Tamandua tetradactyla: one gene and its partners. The protein of the gene in region 3 interacts with the protein of the main gene of each other region in a biochemical or structural test. Links are inferred from orthologs where the notes say so. Each region holds a gene or a part of one and is shown on either strand. Other genes may lie near its edges.

Region 1 (7,801 bases), on a different chromosome or scaffold from region 3:
CTTACAGAGGTGACGCCAGCCAGACACGGCACAGCAAGGGCTCCATGAGGCCTGGATTTTGCTTGGATCCCTTGTTTGGGCCCCTGCCACAACCAGGGCGTCGAGGTCTCTGTGATCTAAGAGGTGGGGGTGGGGACAATGATCACAGAAGCCCAGGATGCCCTGGCAGGGCTGAGGCTCGGCCACAGCATGACCCGCAGTCCCTGGACTTGGGCAGCAGCTCCGAGGAGCCGGGGCCAGGGCAGGCCAGGGGGTTGGTGTCAGCTTCGAGGTCATGGGGGATCCAGGGAGAGCCTGGGCTCGTGCAGGGCCACTAATCCTCCCTCCTGCACCCAGGACTTCTCCCCTGTTTCCAGACCCCACACCCCCCTCTCCCCTGCACCTGCCCTTCTGGCTGCGGTGAGGGGCCTGCAGGCTCCCGTCCCACCAGGCTGGTCCACTCACCTCTGCAGCTCCCGGGTCCCTCCCTGTGCCCTGAAGGCCCTTCCCGTGCTCTGCCCGGGAGCTCACAGCTCAGCACAGAAGCCCCCCTTCCGGAAAACCCCCCACCCTTGCCAGACAGGACAGAAATGCCAGTGGCAAATAATAATGACACCAGTGGCTGGAATAAAAAAGGAGTCCAGTGGCTACGTAGGTGCTGGGAACGTGCTTTCTGGCTAATTAAAACCTGCAACGGCCCTCAGCAGTGGGGGCTGTTGTGTCCCCATTTTACAGATGAGGAAACTGAGGCTAACAAAGGGGCCTGTCTGAGGTCATGATCAGGTCTGGGGCCCTGGCCCATGGTCGCGATGCCCCTGGACACCTCCTGCCTTTTCTGAGTGACCCCTGCCCCTGTCTGGGCCTTCAGGATCCTCGCCCTCTTCTCCTCCTCTCCGGCCTTTTTGGAGGGCCACCCGGGCCCAGACGGGGTCTGCTCCAGGGCCGTGACCTCACCGCCCAGAGCCCAGAGAGACGCAACCTCCATGTCGGTGTTTCCAGTTCCTTCCACCCCCTCCCCCTTCCCTGGCCCCAGCCCAGGCTTTACTCTAACAGTGTCCACCACGTGGGGGAGGCCGGGCTGGGGAAGGGACAGCCCCCTGTACAACTAGGCCGCAGCGGGCAGGCGCCAGGCCTGTCCTGACACACCGTCAAGGTCCTAGATGGGCCCACTGGCCCGAGGCCATCCCAGGAAGGCCCCCTGCGGGGGTGGGGGGGATGCAGGGACAGGTATGGAATCGCCACACCCTTCTCCTGCCATCGGGAGACGCTGCCCTGTCCCTGCGGTCTGAACACGAGTCTGACCGATCACCCCAGCCCCCTGAAGCCCTGCCGCAGCAGACCCCTAGAATCTGTGGTGCTTTCCAAATGGGCTCCCTGGAACCCCGGTGCTGCGAGGAGGCTATGTATGTTCTGCCAGAAAATAATCTTTAGAAGTTGGGAAACCCTGAGTTTCATGGTTTTGTTTCTTGTCTTTCTTACCGAAGGCTTTTCTCAGAACCCTGGATCTAGTCAAGCATTGTGCGACTTGTCCCTAGAGGCTCCCCACTGCTTTGAACCACAGGACCTTTATTTTCCAAAGGCTGGCACATTTGGAGAAGCTCTGCCTGACAGGATAAAGTTCAATCTCTTTAGCGCGATGCATGTGGCAACTTGTCATCTGCCCCATGCTGACCTGCCCAGCCCGGAGTGCCCCCCCCCACCGTCCCTGCAGCACCCCAGATGCCAGCGGCTCTGGGCTGATTTTCAAAATGCATCCCAGCGCATGGCTGAGCCTACAGGTGTCTGCTCGCGCTGCTCCCTCTTCCTGGAATGTCTTTCACAGCCCTACCTACAAAACGTGTCCTCATTCTTTAAGTTTCAGCTTAAATGTGCCCCTCTTCCCAGCCCCACCGAAGGCTTCCCAGGCCCTTGGTGCTCTCCCACTGTGTTCCTAGAGCACCGAGATGGGCATCGCAGCATCTCTCAATCCCACGAGCCCGGGACCAGCCCAGCCACCAGCCCAGCACAGGGCTCTGGCCAGTACCTGTGGAGCGGGCAGCGGAACCTGCCTTCCTTAGAGGTACCTGGGCAGGGAACGGGGTGGCAAGGTTTTCTAGCATTTCCTCCATTCACAGGGACAAGCTGTGGGGCAAGTTGCCACCCAGAGCCAACTCGGGGCCAGGGGAGGCTGGTCCCGGGTTTTGAGGGACTGAGAAAGTCCCTTCCCCCAAGGGTGCCACCCCATGGGGCCCCAAGCTGTCCAGGAACCCCACTGGCTCACAATTCCCAAAGAGCCCCTTGGAGATGTGCCTTTCAACTGCATTAGAAAATAAAGAAAGTTACCACTGGGTATCGCCCCAGTGGGCAGGACCACTGGAGACTGTCAGGAAAGGGCTTCTGACCCAGCCCCTCTGATAGAGCAGGGGTGTGAGGACCCGGGGAATGGCACTCGGGACAGGTGAGTTCTGGTGGGGCTGGAGGAGGACAGAGCCAGACAAGGCCCAGGCGGACAGGGCACAGGGCCCTGGGCTTCACTCTCCTCCCTGACAGATCCTGGGACCTTGAGGATAGCAGTGGGCCTTTCCTGGCCTCAGTTTCCCCACCTGGACGATCGCAGAGGGCTGGCTAGAGGACTTTTGCAGCGTCTTTCAGCTGTGCCCAGGACCTCCAGGCGCTTTCCCTGGGCCACGGCTTCCGGGTAGCAGGCTTTCCCTTCACCCCGGGGGTAGGCGCGGTGCCCCCCGCCCAGCCCGAGCGCTTACCCGACGGGCAGGCGCCCTTCTGCAGCTGGCGCACCGGCGTCCCCGAGAGCTGCAGCGCGCGGCGGCTGGCCGCCTGCAGCGCGCACACGTTGGCATAGGTGTGCCCGTCGGTGCCGCACACGGCGTGTGCCCAGCGGCAGCGGCACACTCCGCGCGTGCACTCCAGGCTGTCCCCGCACGGCGAGTCGAGCGGGCGGCCGCAGGGCTCGCCCTCGCTGGCGGCGCACACCAGGCAGCAGTTGCAGAGGTCGGGTACGTAGCCGCCGGGGCAGCGGGGACTCGGGCACCGGGAGACGTCGCAGCGCGCCGGGCACGATGTCACCGAGGGCTCCCGGGCCAGCGCCAGCGCGGCCAGCGCAGCCAAGAGCAGCACCCGCGCCGGCATGGCGCACGGGAGGGCGGCGGGAGGCAGCGCGCGGGACAGGTTGGGGGCCGCCAGGCGCCTGCGCAGGGTCCCGGGAAGGGGCGGCATGAGCCGGGCGGGCGGGGGCTCAGGCGGGCGCGGCGCGGGCCGGGCGCGGGGGCATCCCCGGGGTGGACACGGGCAGAGGCGTCCGCTCCCCGCGGGTGACTGGCGGCGGGCCGCGCGCCGGCGGTCTTTAGGGCGCGGGGAGGACCCGCCCTCCTGGAAGGGGTGGCCGGGCCCTCTGCCCGCCCCGCCCCGGCCCCAGACGCCCCCGCCCTTGGCCTTCCGGGCCTGGACCCACCCGGGCGGCGGGGATTCTGGCCTGCCTGGTCGGCGAAGCCCAGGGAGGGGGAGCCGCGGGGGCGTGCGCTTCGCGGGGGGATGCCTCGCCACCTCCTGGATCTCAACCCCCAACCCACCACTGCCCGGTAGAAATGAACAGTCCAGACCCCAAAACAGCTCTATTCCTGCTCCCACCCCACCGCCTCGCTCTGCTCAGCATCACCCAACTCTGAGCTCAGGGGCCCTACACAATACCTGTCAGCAGAACCTATCTTCACGGTCCTGGCCCCCCCACCTCTACTGGGGTCAGACCTTGAAAACCGCCCCTTGTGCCCTGACCCCACCTCTCCGTCTTCGGGGCTTGTTGGATGCCGTCTCCTCGGCGGAGGAACTGCCGCGGGGCCTCCTGTCCTTGGAAGAACCCAATGGAGAAATATCTGTAAGCACCTGACACCAGGCACACAGTCAGCCTGCAAAGACTCTCATTTTATCTGCTCTAATATGGTATGATATGATAATAAAATAACAAAGTGGGTCTCAATGCCCCTTCAGGTCGCAGCCCTACCCCCAACCTTGAGGGGGCTCCCAGTGGGATAATGGAGATGATAGTTCAGGAGCCAGAGAAGGGAGTGCAGCCCCCATGAAGTTGAATTCCAAGGGGCTCTAGGATTGGGAAATGCAGCAATGGGGTTGGGAGAGGACAGCCCCAGGGACCGAGTCGCAGTGCAGACGCATCACAGAGCAGGGCTCTGGCTGGTGTATGCTGGAACGTAGCGTGGGGCTTTCACCCCTTTTGTGCCATGAGCCCCTTTGGCTGGTCAGGTGAAGCCTGGACCCCATCTCAGAATGATGTTTCCAAATGCATGAAATAAACTGCGCAGGATTGCAAAGGGGAACAATTGTATGACAAGACAGTTATTAAAATATATCAAGGGTGGGCCACAGTGGCTCAGCAGGCAGTGTTCTCGCCTGCCGTGCCGAAGCCCCGGGTTCAATTCCTGGTGCCTGCTCATGCATCAAACAAGAAAGCTGTTTGATAATGGGTAAAACATGAATTTCTCCGGAGTGCATTAAATATCTGGCCAGGGTGTAATGATTGCTGTGATTTCCAAGCTGTGACAAGCACGGGGATATCTGGAGATCCATCAATGAGGTTGAGAAATCCTGTGCCTTTTCTTGGTGACAGCGTCCGAGCTGCCCCTGGGGGTTGGCCTACTTGGTCGTGGAAGGAAAGGCTGGCTTTCAGTTGGAGGTGTTCATGAAAACAAAGATGTGGCTTGTTTTCATCCACGTTTTCAGGACCGGTCAGGATTCTCCGGTCTGGAGGAGGGAGGGGTCTGGGAATGGGGAGGAGGGCGGATTGGATCCCCAAGAGCCCGGAGAACCTGGGTGCTGCCTGGGTATGTGGGGAGTGGGCTGGTCAGACGGGGGTGTCTGCTGAAATTGCTCAGGCCACAGGACAGAGGGGAGGGGAAGTGGGGCCCCGGTGTGAGCCCTTGGGGGAGCCAAGGGAAGCAGAGGCCCTGAGAGTGGAGTTGAGCTTCGTCCTGTGTTCAGAGGTGGATGGGGTATGACAGGGCTGGGGTTTTCCCTCCCCAAAGCCCTGTGACAGAGAGCATTAGGGCATACAGTTTCTCCTCCAGAAACTTCAAGTGTATTTTGCTTTGAAGACATGGAGGAATTTCAGGCCATTCCTTGGAAAATCTAGAATGTTCCCGGGGGCAGGGAACCCAGGGCTGGCCCCTCGTTCGCATCTCCTACAGAGTGGTCCAGCATGAGTGGCAGAGGAGAGTGGTCCCTGCGCCCAGACCATCCTCACCCCCCACCCCGAGTGTGCCCTAGGGGGGACACTGTGACGCAAGCAGGCTCTTTGGGATGCCTCCTCCTGGAGGGAAGTGCTTTGCTGTCCCCAGCTTCTGCCGTGGACGGCGAATTGGAGACCTGGAGAGCCAAAGAGCCCATTTCTTCTCAACCTTGCATTTATAGGAGGTCCCAGGGCTGCCAGATGCTGCCATCCAGAACTGGCGCAGCCCTCGACAGTTTGCAAGTGAGAATGACCGCTGCTTCTTGGGCACGGAGGCTGCTCAGACGCTTTGCGTACCTTATTTGACTCACTATCCGTGGCAGCCCTAGAGGGGCACTGTCCTTAGGGCGAGGTTCGGGAAGGTAGGGGGCATGGCGCATGGCTGTGGGGACACAGACAGCGGTGTCTGCCGCCCGTGTCCGTGCTCTCCCCTCCAAACCCCACACGCGGCTCCCCACCCCCACTGCAAGGGTCACCTGGTTTGACCTTTATGACCAACCCACAAAGGTGAAGAAACCGAGGCCCGGAGTGAAAGCACAGGGTGCAGTTACCCTTCTCCGCTCCTGCTTCCCTGCAGCCGGAGCCCGTCCCTGTGGTCCTCCCTGATATGGGCAGTCCTGCCGGCCGAGGCCGCAAGCACAGCTGGCCCGAGGCCCAGAGCGCTGTCTTCTTGCAGAGGAGGCTGCTCCCAGGTGTGCGGGCTCAGGTGCAGCAGGCGAGACGGAGGAACCAGCGCCCCCTGCTGCTCCCGCTGCGTAGTGCCCTGCCCTCGGCACACCGGGTACATGCAGGGCCGGCCAGCCTGCCAGGGCCACTGCCCAGCCCCTCCCCAGGCACCACAGCCCCTGCCTTTGATGGGGGGGGGCGGCGCTCCTTGGGGACCAGGCTCCCCAAAATGGCGCTTGCCGCATTGCGGAGGCTCCTCCTGTACTACTGACTTGCAGGAGACGTGAAGCAGTGCCTGTCCCAAGTCTAGGGAATCCAGTTTGGGTTCCTGGTTTGGGTTCTGCCATCCTACCCCACCCCACTCCTGCACCAGGCATCACACGGGGTCCTTTGTATGTCGTCTCAGTCAGTTTGCTGGCATATGCTGGGAGACTGGCTTTTTCGCCATGCATTCGTTCATATATGTACGTTCCCTTGTTCCTCCAAATGTTGAAGTCTCTTCACACACAAGCACACGATTAAAAAGGGAGATGGAACCCACACCAAGAAATATAATCAGCATCTTTCAGTAAGTGTTCACGGAAGCTAAAGAACTGACCTCCTTTCCTTTTTTCCTTTTCCTACCAGACAAATCAGCATAGCTTCTTCTATACGCATATGCCAAAAAGTATTTTCTGTCCTTTTTTTTCCAGTTTATTTTCTCCTACTATGTCATTAAAATTAAATGTCGATCTGGCTCACCGCACAGGGCGCTTTGATTGTGTTTTGGCTTTGACTCTGCCGATTTCTAGAATGTGGGGGAGGCGGGAGACAGAGCTGACTTCTCCAATTGCTATGTTGTATTCCCACCCAGTTTCCTGGGTAGCTGATGGATTTCTGCGAGAAACACCACAAAGCTTGCTGGAATGGAAAACTCTGAAAGGAGAATTGTTCATCTCTCAGGCATCCGGCTTGGATGGGTCCTGCCTTAACATTGCTTAACATGCAGCGGGAATAGCTCCTTTGCGTAGTGTTTACACCCCTGTGGCATATCACCCCCCACACCTCCCTTTGCTTGAGCTGGCCCTCTAACCGCTAACCTGTTTGGAAATGACCTCAATAAACACACAAGAAAAGCTAGCAGACTCAGACGCAGAAGACAACAAATCGATAGGGTTTATTATTCATGGCTCAATGCCAGACATGTATATACATTTTGGGGTCATTTTTATTTTTGAAATGGCCTTTTGTTTATTGTATTGTGATCCAATAATATTTTGGGTTAAATTATTCAGCAGCCATTTCTGATCTGAAGAGGAAGAAGTCTTAGGAGCAGACATTATTCTTTGTTCTACAAACCCATATGCACCTCCAATTCTACCTCTCACTTTTTCTAGCTATTTCCACCATAATGTGATGTTTTTGTTCTTTATTTTGTTTGTAAGCATTAAAGAATTCATGGGTGTGCCTTGGGAAATTTTAACTTTATTTTCAGTGTCTTAATTACTTGGAATAAGTGCATAAATCTCAAATAAAAAGGAGAGAATTGGAGTAAAGCAAAAGGAGTGGTACGAAAATAACAGCAAGCTAAAGGTGATATCAACACACAAATTATAGTCACGAGATGCTATTCTTTTAGTGAATGCTCATAAATTTGGCTCTGAGCTTCCTGGTAGCCAGGGCAAAGAGGGAAACATGAAGTCATGTGATAAAAACCTGCTACTCTTAAGCAGCCTAACTGCTCTCCCTGTCTAGAGGAGAGAAGCATTTCCTAGGGAGTGTCAGAAACAAGACATTGAAGAATGTTCTGACGACACCCTCCACAGTGAGTCCATGTGTCCCCCTTGGGCACGCCAGGGGCAAGATAACCTAGGAGTCCTGGAAGAGGCTCCATGAGTCATCAGGCAAGACTTGGATTGGCCCGGACAGGGAAAGGAGCTGCTG
Region 2 (7,223 bases), on a different chromosome or scaffold from region 3:
GGCCTCTTCTGTGGAAAGCAGTGCAGGGAGCGGCTCTTAAGTGCCTTCCGTGTCCTCTCACAAACTGTAGATTTAAACTAGCTGCAATTGACGCTGGGAAAAAGAGGAGAGATAGTCCACCTACTGCTCCAGGGCTGAAAGGATTCTCAGCCGGGGGAGGGGGGGGGGGGAGATCCCCTGAAAAAGAGAGAGCAGGAAAGAGGTCTTCAAAGCCTCCTCCATTCCTCAGAAAATCTTTGGGGAAGGAAAGGGGTGGGCAGAGATGGCTTCTGGTCCGACTCTGGCTAAATCCCAGGGCTGCAAGGCAGAAGTTTCCTAACACCTCCAGGAGGTCTCTAAGAGATTTTTATCGAGGCTAGGATAGGCTGACCCAATCCTATCTTATCATTAGCCAAGACAGGGCAACAGGCCCTCTGGAGAGCCTTTGAAACACAAATGAAAACAGCACAAAGGTAGCGCTGAAGTCCCCGGGCTGGAATTCGGGTTTCTTTTTCTGCCTCCAGCTCAAGCCGCCTGGGCTAAGGAAAGCCGGTGCAGGCACCGAGGGCACTCGGATTACACCCGGTTCCCGGACGCTCCCTTGAGAGTCTCCTCAGGTCCCTCCCAGGCCCCAGGCCGCCTCTCACCATCACATAATGGCGCTGCATCTCTGTCTTCTCGTTGGCAAGCTTGTCGTACTCCACTTTGAGGCTGCGAGGGCAGAAGGAGCCGGCTCAGGCCTGGCGCCTGCACAGCCTCCTCGGAGGCACCAACCCAAGGGCCTCAGAGGGCCTCTTTTCCACTTCCCTGACCACCCTCCCCCCCCCGAGGTTACCCCATTATCCCGCAGCCTCCGGGGGAGGGGGATTTGGGTTCCTGCCACGGGGAGGGGTTAGGGGGAATGAAACAACTTGAAACTTCCCAAGCCCTGGGAGTGGAATTAGTAGGCTTGCAGGGGTGGGGGTGGGGCGGCGGCAGAACCCGGACGCTGTAGCCCGCCACCTCCGGGACCCGGGCCCAGCCCGTCCGCCACCCCGACCCCGACCCCGGGGAGCCCGGGCGGGCGGCGCTGGGAGCGGGAGGCTGCGGGGCTGCCAAGGGTTAAGGCCCCGCGCTCCGAAAGGGAAAACAAAAGGCGGAGGCCGGGCTGCCCCTCCGCCCGGGGGTCGGGAGACCCTCGGTCCCGGACGGAGCTGCGCCTGGAGCCACGGACCCACTCCCCGGCAGTCCCGGGGTCGGTCCCCACCAGCCTTACCTGTGATACTGAGCTTGCAGGAACTGGAATTCGTCTTTGATTCTGTCACAGGACTCGGCCACCGTGAATTTAAATCCCGGCTGCCCGGGTTGATGGGGAGCCTGGAGCCCGGGAGGGCAAGACAGGGGAGGGGGGCGGGGCCATCAGACGGGGCTCAAAGCTGCCCAGGCCCCTCCGCGGCTTCCCTCCGCCTCCCTCCCCACCCCCCCATCCCCACCCCCACCCGCGCCGGCTCATAATTAGAGAAGCCCCCTCGCAACCCCAAACCTTCCCCCAAGTCACTCAGTCCCACAACAGGGTTGTGGTCTAGTCCTTCTCAGCCGCGGGGCTCCTACCCTTTTCACTACGGGGCTCCCAATTCCAAGAAAGAGGGGGGCGGGGAACGTACGAGTTGGGAGACTTAGGAAAGGGGGCGGGGGAGGGGAGTGCAAAAACAGTTCCCCTTCTAACACAGGGAGCTCCCTACGCCACTCGGGCGGAATTAACCTCTTCTCTCAACGGCGCCCCCCATCCCCTTTGTGTGAGAACACATACATACACACAAACACACACCATAAAGGTAGCAACGAGCAAAATGGAGGTGCCAGATAAACTGCCTCGTTTACCCCGCCGTGATAGATGCTTAAATACACCGAGTTGCAATTACTCACCGGATGTCTGCCTTGCGGATACATGGCAGGGAGGGGTCGTGATTCCAAGAGCGTGGAAGCGCCGAAAGCCCGGGCCGGGGAGCTGCGGGGGAGGGGGGAGCCGAGCCCGAGCGGGGGGCGGCCGGGAAACCGAGAACTCGCCCCCGGCCCCCCCAGCCCGCTCTCGCAGCGATATCCCAGAGTCGGGCGCCCACCCCAAGTGGAGACAAAGAGCTGCGGAGCAGGCGGCAAAGTCGTCTGCGGGCGCCGAGGCCGGGCGGGCGGGCGCGGGCTTTGTGCGCCTAGGGCTCGGCGGGCTGCGGCCGGCCGCCTTCCCCCGGCTGCGTCGAGCGCGTCAGAGCCGGGGGCTTCGCGGACATCGTCTTCTCCCCAGAGGTTCTGGCACGGGGTCCCAAGGCCGGGGTTGCCTCCTGGGGCGAGCGCTAGTCCCCTTCGGATCAGTTAGCCCGTGGCGCCAGGAGGGGGGCGCGCCGGGGCAGCCCCAGCATCCAGGGAGCGAGGGTCCGATCCCAGAGGCGACAGCGCCCGGGGCTCGCGGCGACGAGGAAGAGGAAGGAGACAGGCACCGAGGTGGCGGCTTGGGACCGCGAGAGCGCCAGAGGGTGAGGGCGGGAGCCCCGCGCGGGCGCTTCGACGCCCCCCCCCCACCACCACCACGGAGAGGAGAGCCTGTTGTTCCGTCTGCTCCTGCCGCCGCCGCCGCCGCCGCTTGCAAGCCCTTCCCAGGGCCAAGGAGGAAACTCCGGGCTCAATAGGTGCAAATCAACTGCTCCGGCATCCTAACTCCCGCGGGCAGAGAAGCCTCCGCAAACGGGTCCTCGTTGCTCCCAGCTCGAACGCCGAGTTCCTAGCGAAGAGCGCTCGGCGCTGCGGCCGCTTCGGGGTGTGCAGGCTGGAGAGCGCTGGAGGGGAGACGCAGCCCTAGACCCAGGAGCTGTGCGGCTTCCTTCCTCGGCTCGACTCTCCTCTCCGCGCCCCGACAAACCCCCACACATACACCCTGACACACACACCCAACATACACACACCAAAAAAAAAAAAAAAGTGGCCCGGACCTTGCGGATACCACACACAGACAGGCGAGGGGGACGAGCACGAGGTCTGAACTGCCGCGAGAGCAGTTCCAAATAGGGACTGAAAAGTAACAAAATAATGTGGCAGCTTCGCCCGGTGCTAGCCAATGGGAGCGCGGAACCCCCACGTGGGGCTGCCCGACCCGGCCTACGACTGGGCGCCGCCGGGCGCAACGTCACAATGCCCTCTTGTGTCTAAAACTATGCATGAAAAGTAGCAATCAGGCCCTACCCGCTGGTGACTTTCGCATGGGAGTGAAAAACAGCGCTCCTCAGATCAGGAATTAACCGAAAGACATATAATAAATAGATATATATTATAGTCCTGGGCTGCTAGAATTTTTGTTCGTCCTCTTTTTTTTTTCCCACGATCTACTAACAATTACTTAGCGGGAGGGGGAAAGAGAGAAGACAGAAATAACAACAAAAGAAAAAAAAGACAAGCTGTATAATTCTAAAAACCTGTGGCTGGGTGGTAATGTATCAGTTTATTCTGCAGTGGCGGTAAACGATTCCTCCCTCTAATCTCATTAGGTCTGCAAAGCAGCACAATTAGATACTATAAAACAAACAGAATCACTTCGTCACTTTAATGTTTTCACTTCACAAGATTTAGGACCGATAAAATGGTGGCTCCCAAAGTTGCCTCGCCCCACACACCCCCACACCCCTAAAGATTTGCTAGAAACTGAGGGTGTCCCTTTATAACTCCTTCCGTTACCCCCACGGTCCCCTACCCCCACTCCGCTCTGCTTCTTTTCTCTGTTCTTCGCCTTTCTTTTCAGAAAGCCAAATAAACACCGTCTTTGATGTGCGGCGGCTAGCCGCGAGAAGTCTGAGGAACTCTTGCTTGGCCAGTAGCGCAGAAGGTAGGGCCTGGCTGCCCGCGGACAATCTGCTCAGCTTGCCAACTGTCCCCACGAGGGGATGTCTACCCCGGCGAAGGGCGGGCCTCCGTGGGGACAGTTACCACAGCCTTGTCGGGACCGCTCCGCGCTGCGTGCGGGGTCCGGGGAGCAGAGTTGGGGATTGGAGCGGGGCCCTGCACCGCCCTGACCTAGGAGCTCCGAGTTCCAACCCGCTTTACTCGGTCTGCCCGCGTCAGTATTACAGCGCCGGCGGAAGCTTGTGGAAGAACGTGTGTGCGAGCTCGTGGGCGTCTCCGAGGCCAGCCACGACGCCCCGGGGGGCGCATACGCTCGCCCGACCGGTCGCGCGCCCCTGACCCATCCCTTCCGCCGCGCCTCTGGGACTCCCTGAGCTGTCCGACAGGCCCCTCGACTCCGGGAGCCAGTCTGCTGGAAAACTCAGAGCCTTTATCAACTGCGCGCGGAGTTACGTCAGGCCGGACAGCCGAGGGGGAAGCGGTCCCTCCCGAGAACCCCGCGGGCACTAGCCAGCATCTCGGCGAACCCGCCGGGACCCCCGGGCCAGCGGCAGGCGCGAGCGGCGCGGACTTTGGGTCCCGCGCCTTGGAGGCGGCCCTGGGCGCGCGCGAGCCGGCAGCGCGCCCCCGGATCTATACTTCCCCCTCATTAGGAGCGGGAGGTTCGCCTTTGCATCTTAATGAGGAGCTGAGAGCAAGCGAGCGCTGGGAGGCCGGTGCGCAGGGAGTTACACATGAGCACTCGCCTAAGAGTTGAACCTCCCCGCGCCCGCTCCGGCCGTCAGCCCCGAGCTGCGCTCCTCTATTCATTTATTTATTCTCCTAAATAAAAACATAAAACGTGTGCGGCGCGCATCGAGGAGGTGGGGGGTGGGTAGAGAAAAGCCCGGCTCGACAGATGCGAGCATCTGGCCGCAGCATTCATTAGACACAAAATGGCTCCTCTTTGGCGCTTCCTTTTCCCCTCCCCCTTCTCTGCCCTCCCCCTTACGTCACGGGTGGGCGCACCCGCTTCCTGCCCGCCCCGCCCCTTTCTCGCTCCTGTCCCCACGTGGTGACCGCTGACCCCGCCTCCGAGCAAAGCATGGACGACCAATCAAAGGCCGCTGAGGCCCTTCTACGCCACTGATTGGCGAAGCTATCGGGAGCTGTCAGTCTACGGCCAGAGCTGTCAGTCAAAACCACGCGGGGTGGGGGAGCGCTGACAAATGCCGAGGCTTCTGAGCCTCCCGCTTGCAAATAGTGCTTGGAATGGCTGCTTAATTAGCTTTGAATGGCTTTTCCTTCCAGCTCAAACAATCTGTCACTACCATGTGGTATAAAGGAGCCATGCATAAAAAAGTAAGCAGAGGCTAAATATCAATTTGATTTTGTGTATCAAAGGAATATTTTATTTTTCTCCCTAGTAATGAAACGTATCAATTTAAATAATAAAAGGTAAAAACACACACACAAACCAAAAAAAAAAAAAAAGTAAAGACAGAAGAAATGAAAGGAAAAAAAAAAAAAACCAAAACCCTACTCCATGATCCTCCGACTTCTATGCAAGCCCGAAACAGGTAATTTCTACGGCCCACGTTCAGGAGGAAGCCTGAAGGTTTTTTCCCCCTTTAAATTTGCATTTAATGTTTTGTTGTCGTCCAGTAATCTAGAAGGAGTAATGGAGGAGGGGTGGCCTGAAGTGGGGGGCGTGGAGGGGTTAGACTTTAAAGGGAGCTCTTTGAAGCTGTTAATCAAAGTGGAAGGATTTTTAAGACCCTGTAAACCGGGGGTCCACAGCAGGTCTCGATTTGGGAGCCGAGAGGAGATGGGGGAGAGAGTCATTGTGCGTGTCGCCCGGATTTATTAAACACAATGCCTTCAAGATGCCAGGGACGCGGCGCCTCGTCCGGCCTCCCTCTCACTGCCTCCCTCCAAATAGGCTCCCGCGGCGCCCGCCCGCAGGCAGCAAGGAGCCTCCGGGTCCCCAGACCGGGTCTACGCAGACAGTGGGCAGAAAAGCACAGCAGCTATTCCCGAGTCTGAATCTCTCCGCGCTTCTGGGGACATTAGTGTCTCTCCTACGACGCCACGAGCCGGGTCACTCCACAGGGCAGAACCACGTCGAGGTCACCTGTGAGACCCAGCGTCAGCGCCAGGCCTGGCACAGGGGAGGGGCCTGGGACTGTTTGACAACTGCGTAATGGACGTGTTTTTGCAGAGCGCCGCCTTCTCGGGCCAGCCTGGAGGATTACGCCACCGAGCCCGAAGAGATAATGAACAGCGTTCAAGCGCTTACTAGGTACAAAGCAAGGAAGGCAGGCACTGCTATTCTCTTTATCTTCACTTCACTCACGAGGGAAGCGGCCAGGCTGGTGGCCATTATTTCATGGAGTAAGAAAGAGACCATGAGAAAGCTCAGTAATTTGCCCCAAGCTGGACAGGTTAGGATTTGAATCCAGGGCAGCCGGCTCGACAGCCAAGCTTTGCACCCTCTGTGCTTGCGCGAGCTGGTTCCCTGGGATCATATTCTGAAGGTAAGGCATTCATTCATTCATTCACTCATACATACATACATTCATTCATTGCCAGCCCTTTCGGAGGCTTTTTACAGGCCCGGGTCGGCCGACTCTGGCTCCCACTCTCTCTGCACCCCACGTCACCCCGGGGCTGCCTGAACCCTGAGCGGGAAGGAAGGCGGGAAGTTAGTAAGCAGGCCAGCACCCCTTTTGGCTCTCCATGACTCTGCTTCTCAAACCCAGGCCACCCCACAAATCAAGAAAAAGAAGGAGGAAAAAGAAATTTATTTTATGTTCGAGAAAAAGAAAATTAAAAGCATGTATACAAAACCCTGTCCAAAGCGCTTGACAATTATTTTTAAAGGTGGGGGGGAGTAGAGAGAAAGAGTTCAAACGTCTCTGTCTCCAGTTCTAATTGGAAACGTTTCAACTGTTTATGTTACAAGAAGTGTCAGGGTCATTTGCTACCGAAGAGCTGACTTTTCATTGGCTGCTTAATTGAGTACCTCGGAGTCCACCCCACGTGGGAGAGGAATTCCTGGCACATTAAAAAAAAAAAGTCACCCGAGTGAGACACAAAGCCTGGCCTGGATTTCCGGAGCGGAGGGTCCTCCTCCTCAATTTGGATTGCAGGGTTATTGGTGGGCAGCTGTCTGCCAGCCCGAAAGAACTGCTTTTCTGGTTCTGTAAAAATAATTGTTGAGCGCTTCAGACAGAAATATACGGTTTCTCAGAAATTAAAGGTGTCTGACTCAGGCGAGCCACCAGGCTGTGGCCTTGTATTTGAGGAACTGATCAATGCCTTGGGTGGGTTGAGAAACTCTCTCCCTGTCATCCCTTCCCTGAGAGCCTCCACTGGCTTTGAATTTTCGGAAGCCTCTT
Region 3 (7,459 bases):
TGAAATTTATAGCTTTTTTTGTATATAAGTTATTTTTCACAAAAAAGAAGGAAAAAAGTTGAATATGAGGATAAAAAAATATTTAAGCCCTCTAGCCTCCTATATTCTGGAGGAGCTAGAAGGAAAAATATGAGAGGATTGTATGGTAGCTCATTACAAACTCTGGGATCTCTCCTATAACCACTTGTTGAAAAGTGCTTTGAAAATTATTGCTTTTTTATTTCTTTGCTTTGTATACCTGTTATACTATACAAAGAAGATAGTGATCCCTCTGTTGTAAGCTCATTTATGACAAGACTGATGTCTAACTCATTTTTTAATTCCTCCAAGACCCTTCTAGTCATTTTTAATTCCTCCTTCTTATACCCCACATGCAATCCATCGCAAATCATGTCACCTCTATCTTCAAAATACATCCAGAATACCACCAATTCTCACCAACTCCACCACTACAACTGTAGTCCAACTCTCTCTTGGATGACTGTAATAGCCTATTCACTGGTCACCCAGCTTCCACCCACGGCCCTCTCCAGTCTACTCACACAGTAGCCAGAGCTATCCTAATAAAATGCAAGTCAGATCATTGTCATTTCTCTACTGAAATCCCTTCAATGGCTCCCCATTTCACTCAAAGTAAATGTCACAGATTTATAATGGTTTGCAAAACTGTGGTGGCCGGCCATCAAGATGACCCCTGATGATCTTTGCTTCTTGCTATTCACAACCTTGCATAGTTCCCTTCTATACTGAACCAGGGCTGAAAGTGTGACCAGTAGGATACGGTGGAAGTGATGGCATATAACTTACAAGTTTAGATAGTAAAAGGAATTGTGCCTTCTGCTTGCTCTCCTTTGGATTGCTTGCTCTGGAGGAAACTAGCCATCTTATCTTAAAAATACTACAAAAGCAGATAAGGAGGCTCCCAGGGAGAGAAACTAAATCCTCTCCCTCACTTCTCCCTACTATGGCCAGCACCAGCAAGCTAACCATGTGAATGAGCCACCTTCGGAAAAGGTCTTTCAGCCACATGTTTCAGATGACTGTAATTTCTTGTGACCAAGAGTCAGAATCACCCAGTTAAGCTACTCCTGAATCACTAAATTTTAGGACATTTTGTTACATGGCAGTGGATAACTAATACAGAGGCCCTGTACAATCTTGATCCCTTTTTACCTTTATGTCCTCATTTGCTACTCTCTTCCTTGTTCCTTTAGCTCTCCTGCCTTTGCATTCGCTGTTCACTCTGCCTGGAACACTTTCCCCAGATAGTGCTATGGTTTGTCCTTCACCTCCTCCATGTCTTTTCAGCTAAAATGTCAGTGTCTCAATAAGGCCTACCCCAACCACCATATTTAAAATTACAACTCCTTCTGTCAGTATTTCCAGTCTTCCTTCCACACTCTAATTTTTCTTTTCTCCATGACGTCTATCACTTTTAACATGAATATAATTTATTTAATTATTGTATTTATTTATTGTCTTTCTGTTCCCTCTACACCTGCTAGAATATAAACTCCAAGAAGACAGGGATCTTTGTTTTGCTCATTGACAAATTCTGAGTGATTAGAACAGTGTCTGGCACAGAGTAGGTGCTCAAATTTGCTGATTTTTTTTTAAAAAGAGTGAATACAAATTTCATGAACATGCCAGAGCCTCAGTAAATGCATGTTGGGTGAACTATTAATTTACAGATATGAACAGCAAAGACAGATATACCTGGGGTATTTTATGTGCAGAGATACTGTGCCAGTTTGAAAGGATTTATGTACCCCAGAAAAGCCATGTTTTAATCTTCGCCAATCTTGTGGAAGCAACAGTTTCTTCTAAATCCTATTCAGTACTATAGGTTGGAAACTTGTTTAGGTTATCTCCATGAAGATGTGGGTATTAAATCTGATTAGATGGAGACATGCTTCCACCCCTTCTACATTGGTCTTGATTAGGTTACTGGAATCCTTTAAAAGAGGAAGCATTTTGGAGAAAGCTTTAGAACGACATGGCCACAAGAAGCAGAGTCCACCAGCCAGCAAACTTTGGAGCTGAAGAAGGAAAACTTCTCCCACAGAGCTTCATGCAGCAAGAAGCCTCAAGAGAAAGCTAGCAGGCTGTCTACAGGTTGGCCACGTGCCTTCCCAATTGAAAGAGAAACACTGAACTCTTCGGCCTTTCTTGAGTGACAGTAACCTCTTGATAGTGCCTTGGTTTGGACATTTGTATAGACTTGCTTTAATTTGGAGATTTTCATGGCATTAGAACTATAGAACCTGTAGAACTGTAAACAAGTAGCTATACTGCATGAGAGAAAGCACTGTGCTTCATAACAAAGGCACAAATTCAAGCGCCAAGAGAGTTCAGAGGTGGAAGAGATAACCTTCAGCTAAGACACCTAGAGAAGGCTTTGCATAGGGGCAGTCTTTTCATCTAGGCAGAGGGATAAGTTTGAACAAATTAATGGAAGATAGGAAAGCAGGGGATGGGCTAGGAGACATTGAGTAGTTTTGTTTTATTGGAAGATAAGGAAGGTATTAGGTCCCAGAAAAAAAATTCTAAGAGCAAAAGGAATTCTTGACACAGAGCCCCTTCAGCCCCCCTCCTCAGCATCCTTGGAAGTCCAAGGATCCAGATATGAACCAATTACCATACTGGCTGGGATTGTATTCTACAGGCAAATGAAGACATTCCAGATAACTAGAAATACAGTCATAATCTGTTTCTGTTAATAACACCCTCCTCTACCAGCACCTCACCCTGCCCAATACATGCAGTTGTACATCAAAGGAGAATACCTTAGTAATCTATGATACCCTAAGTCAACAAGCCCCCATCCAATCAAGGGACCACACACCACCTAGTGGGCACCCTTCCCCTCTCCTGGCATCACTTTCCCTTTATAATACAGCTCCCAGAACAAAGAGGGCCAGCCATTTTTCTTTCCTTTCACTGGCTCCTGTCTACCTACTCTCTCTGCTTTCTCTCTCTTCAATAAATCTGTTAAGCCTCCACTGGCTGTCTGCTGTGGATTCCTTAATGACTCCGTGCCTAACAGTAGGGTGCCCAAGGGGAGAGTGAAAATGAGGCTGAGCAGTTTTAACATTATCCTGGAAGCAGAAGTATTGAAGAGTTTAGCTCAAAGGGCCTTTTGCAAGCCGAATTGGGGGGACCAGTCCAGGGACAGAGAAGTCAGGAGACTGGGTAACGGTTAGATACACCTGTAATCAGACAGATCTGGGTTTAAAATTGTTGGGCCAGTTCCCGTACATACTAGCAGTGTGACCTTCAGTATGTCACTTAATATCTTTAAACCTCAGTTTTCTTATCTGTACAATGGGGTAATGATAGTTATACTTCATTAGATTGCTGTGAGAATTAAATGAGATAAACATGTGCATGCAATTACTATTACTGCACTAAGTCAGATGTGAGACTACCAGGGCTGTGACAGTGGGAGAGGATCAGAAAGAATAATATCAACTGTAGCAAAAGCCCAAGAACCAAAAAGAAAATTATTTCTTCTCCTCCCTCCAAGTCTGCTTTTCATTGGAGACAGCATCATTTGAGGATGCTGGCGATACTTTTGATATTTTCCATGACATTAAATATCCTGGTTCAGAAATTATTATCTCAACACACTAGCCTGTTAGAGAGCCTGAGTTCTTGAAAGAAAAATTCAGATGTAGGTCTGACAATCCTACAGCATATTTGAAATAAATCCAGGGTATGATCAGCACATTATGTACTTACACTTCCTTTGTTTCCCCTCCTTCTGCTTCCTTCTGCTTTCTTATTCCCCTGTTCATTTTCCATTCACCTCCTAAATTATTTTCTTCTCTCTCTCTCTTAATGAATGTCTCCCTTTCTTATTCTTCTCATTCTTCCCTTCTTGGAAACAGAGCTTATCCTAATAGTAGCTCTCTCTTTTATTTACTGAGCGATATTGGGATAGTTTGCCTCTCTGGGTCTCAGTTTCTTCTGTAAAATGGATTTAGTAAGAGAGTGCCTACCTCATAGGTTTGTCAAAATGACAAGAACATATATATAGCACAGCATCTGGTCTATAGTAAGAATTAGACACGTTCTCTCCCTTCTCCGTATTCCTTGTCCATTACTTTATCTCTATTCGGCTACTCCTTAACCCTAGAGCCCGGCAGGTAAAAACCGTGGGAAATAAAACATCCTGTAGGCTAAAGCAGGAAACGCTTAAACTAGGGGGCGGGCACCGCGCGGTACCCACTGCGCATGTGCGCCAGGTTCGTCAGGCTCCCGTTCCCAGCTGGGGTCGGAGCCGAGACTGGGCGATATTTTTTTTCTGGCTGCTCTTACCACTCAGGGAAGTGTCGTGACCGTGTTGGCGCCCCGCGTGGGCGCGGCGCTAATCGAAGGTCACCTCAGCCCGAGTGTGTAAGTTGAAAAATGGCGGAGGGGGGAAGAAGGAGGGGCTTTACAGGGCGGGAGGCTGACCTTCCACGGGGGCGGGAGTTTTTGGGGTGCGGCGGGCAGGAAGGACTGGCTGCCGGGGCCCCGTCAGTGGGGCTCGGACCTTGAGACCGCTGGACCACGCCCAGTGTTTCTTTGATGCTCTGACGTGGACGCACTTTGGACTCTCCGACTCGGGTTCCTCCGGGGGATGGGCCGGTTGGTGGATGCGGTTGAGGGAGACGGAGAGACTTCCGTTTCCTTCTCCTAGGCCCAGGCCTGGCTGCAGAACAGAGTTGGCATTTCCATATTGGGACTGGTGGTGCCCCTCCTAGGGATCCTCCCCTCAGGACCTCCCTGGGTGCCGCAGGCGGTCGTGACTGGCGCTCCAGGCCGGGTGAGTACTGCCTTTGCGGGTTTCCCTCTCCACTAGCCTCCCCTCCTCCCCTCCCCCCTCCTCCCCACCCCCTTCCTCCCCTTCTCCCCTCCTGCCCACCCCCTTCCTCCCCTCCTCCCCTCCTCCCCTCCTGCTCACCTCCTTCCTCCCCTCCTCCCCTCCTCCCCACCTCCGACTGGGCCTTGCGGAGGAGGGCGGGAAGGCAGCGAACTTGACGGGGAGGGCGGGAAGGCGGGAAGGCAGCAGTCCAGGAACTGGCCAAAGGAAGGCGAACGTGTATAGCTTCAGGCCGGCGGCGCTGCCTCCCTGAACCCCGTGACTGCTAAAGAACTTTTTTTTATGATCAAAGGGATTTCCCGCAAGTCCCCCCACCTGATGCCTGTGGAATGTGTCTGGCCAGGGCGTGTGAAACAGAAATAATAGGGGCCAAAGAGCTTCCGGAAAAGAAAATTAGCTAGTAATTCTAATCATTGGTGCCCAAGTCACCGCTCCAGCATATTCTGTGAGTAAAACAAAATGTCAATTTAACTTCAGTTTCATTATTTTTTCTTAATAGTGCACGGAGCTTTTTTCTTTGGGGGATAGGGGTGGTGGTTATTGCTAAAAATAAGCAATGGTCCTCCCCACCTCCAAAAAAAAAAAAAAAAGAAAACAAACGTCAAATCTTTGTAAAAAAAACCTATCAGGTTTTAATAACCTACTACTTTGCTTTCAAATACAGTTATATCACTAGTTCTGTCACAACCACAGCTTGATAGTTAAGGACTCAGAGAAATTTACTTTTGTAACAGTAAACGTTGCTATACTGTTTCTTTCTCCTTCTTAATAACATTTGTTGAAATCAGTTCAAAAGAACACTGTTACAGACGGCCATCTTAGAATTATAGCATTTTAAAATTGGAAGGGATCTTAGCCCAGCTCTGTTACGTTTTTACAAAACCGGAATCTGAGGCGATTTCATGATTTACCCATTGGCTCTCCACGACTTAGATTAGAACTCAGGTTTCTGGCTCTTTGCCTATGGTTCTTTCTGTGCAACTTCCCCACATATCCTGCAGGCACGAAAATGAAATGTGTTCAATTCAGTACACATTTCTGAAGAGAATACTTCTTGTTGCCAGCGACTGCCTAGCTCTTAGCAGTTCTTCTTTCAAAACAGTCTCAAGCCTGTGCGTGTTTTTTTTCCCCATCATTCAAGAAGGGGCAACGGTTTAGTTTAAAAACATTTTATACACATACACAAACATGTATACATGTATTTGTTAGGATAATTTCTTGAAGGATACACAAACAAATGTTAACAATAGTTGCTACACGTCAAGGGTGGGAGGAGTGGAAGACTTGCATTGCACTTCCACTCCTAAATGGATGGCCTAATGTACTGTTTTGATTTCTTAACCTTTATCAAGTATTAATTTTATAATTAAAATCAAGTTTTAAAGTTCACACATACATAGGTTAATCAACATAAATAATACATTTCAATGGTACGTGTCTCTATATATGTATATTTATGTATATGTGTGTATCAGTGATTTGTGTTGTAAAATCCAATGTGGCTCATGTATCCCCAAACGGCAAGGCAGGCTTGATTATTATGCTCATGTTACTCCTTTGGTTTTCTCCTATTGCTCTTGATGTAAGATAGTAAAAGTAATTTGTTGCTAGACTTTACTTGGTTTTAGAAAATGTGATGTTTCTTGATCATCAAACAACATAACATTATCAGAAAATCAAATTAGAATATTTATAGATAAGAATCATTTAAAAATTACATTGGAAAGGTCCCTGGGAGTAGTTCAGCTCTCTTGTTTTAACAAATAAGTTAAGACCCAAAAATGAGAAAGTGAACTGCCCAAGGTTATATATCTGATTATTAGCAGAGCCTGGGCTGTAGTCTAGGTCCTAGTCCAGTGTCCTTTATAGTACACCTCTGATCTTATTGCTTTCTATTGCATTTGATGACTCCAACTAGGCTGACAAAGCAATGCTCAATAAAGGTCAGTTAGACCCATTTCAGTAGATAGGAATTGTAATTAATGTACTAGATAATTTGAATAGTACTTGAAATATTTTAGTAACATAAATGTTCCCCTTAAATTTGGTTGTACGCTTTAATTAATAAATCCTTTGTCTACATTGTAAATGCTTAAGACCACAAATGTAAAATGATGAGATTTTACTGTTTTTGTTTTGTCTAATATTTAAGTCTTCTAGCTAGTAGTAGCTCAGGGAAAAGCTTGGCTTACAAAATAAATACTGAACACCTATTGTGTGCCAGGTATTGTACTATGTGTTAGTGTTCTAAAGAAGAGTAAAACAAAATAGAAGAGTAAAGCAAAAAAAAGCCTGGTTCTTTTGAGGCGGGGAGATTATAAGGAACTGTCGATCCTAAAGTTTAATCTTATTTTATATAATCTGGGGTAACAGTATTATAAAATGTAAACTGTTACGTTGTTTGAGATCATTAAAGAGACAAAAGCAGTAGTGGTAAAATACAAAAAAATTTAGTATTGAATTGAAGAATTATCAGTTTTGTGTCTTAGAGGTCATGTGGTAGAGTGAAAAGAACCCTGTATTGGGTACAGTACAATCTGGGTTCTTGTCTTGGCTTTGTTTTCAGTTAGCTGTGAGATGAGAGCAAGTCAC

Evidence for each region.
Region 1: of the proteins of XIAP (region 3) and HTRA3, one has a biochemical effect on the other in vitro, tested with the Homo sapiens proteins (3 studies listed by BioGRID and IntAct, with this or other methods). The link is inferred for Tamandua tetradactyla from reciprocal best matches to the Homo sapiens genes XIAP and HTRA3.
Region 2: of the proteins of XIAP (region 3) and TLE3, one has a biochemical effect on the other in vitro, tested with the Homo sapiens proteins (2 studies listed by BioGRID). The link is inferred for Tamandua tetradactyla from reciprocal best matches to the Homo sapiens genes XIAP and TLE3.

What each region holds. Positions count from the first base shown.
Region 1 is NC_135345.1:4,562,864-4,570,664, forward strand, and holds the start of HTRA3 (serine protease HTRA3), read right to left. Parts: upstream 3,106-7,801; coding exon 2,721-3,105; intron 1-2,720. UniProt on the Homo sapiens protein: Serine protease that cleaves beta-casein/CSN2 as well as several extracellular matrix (ECM) proteoglycans such as decorin/DCN, biglycan/BGN and fibronectin/FN1.
Region 2 is NC_135338.1:72,482,653-72,489,875, reverse strand, and holds the start of TLE3 (transducin-like enhancer protein 3), read right to left. Parts: upstream 3,106-7,223; 5' UTR 1,909-3,105; coding exon 1,885-1,908; intron 1,336-1,884; coding exon 1,235-1,335; intron 691-1,234; coding exon 627-690; intron 1-626. UniProt on the Homo sapiens protein: Transcriptional corepressor that binds to a number of transcription factors. Inhibits the transcriptional activation mediated by CTNNB1 and TCF family members in Wnt signaling.
Region 3 is NC_135353.1:41,719,088-41,726,546, reverse strand, and holds the start of XIAP (E3 ubiquitin-protein ligase XIAP), read left to right. Parts: upstream 1-4,232; 5' UTR 4,233-4,398; intron 4,399-4,458; exon of another isoform or gene 4,459-4,684; 5' UTR 4,685-4,810; intron 4,811-4,948; exon of another isoform or gene 4,949-5,111; intron 5,112-5,159; exon of another isoform or gene 5,160-5,312; intron 5,313-7,459.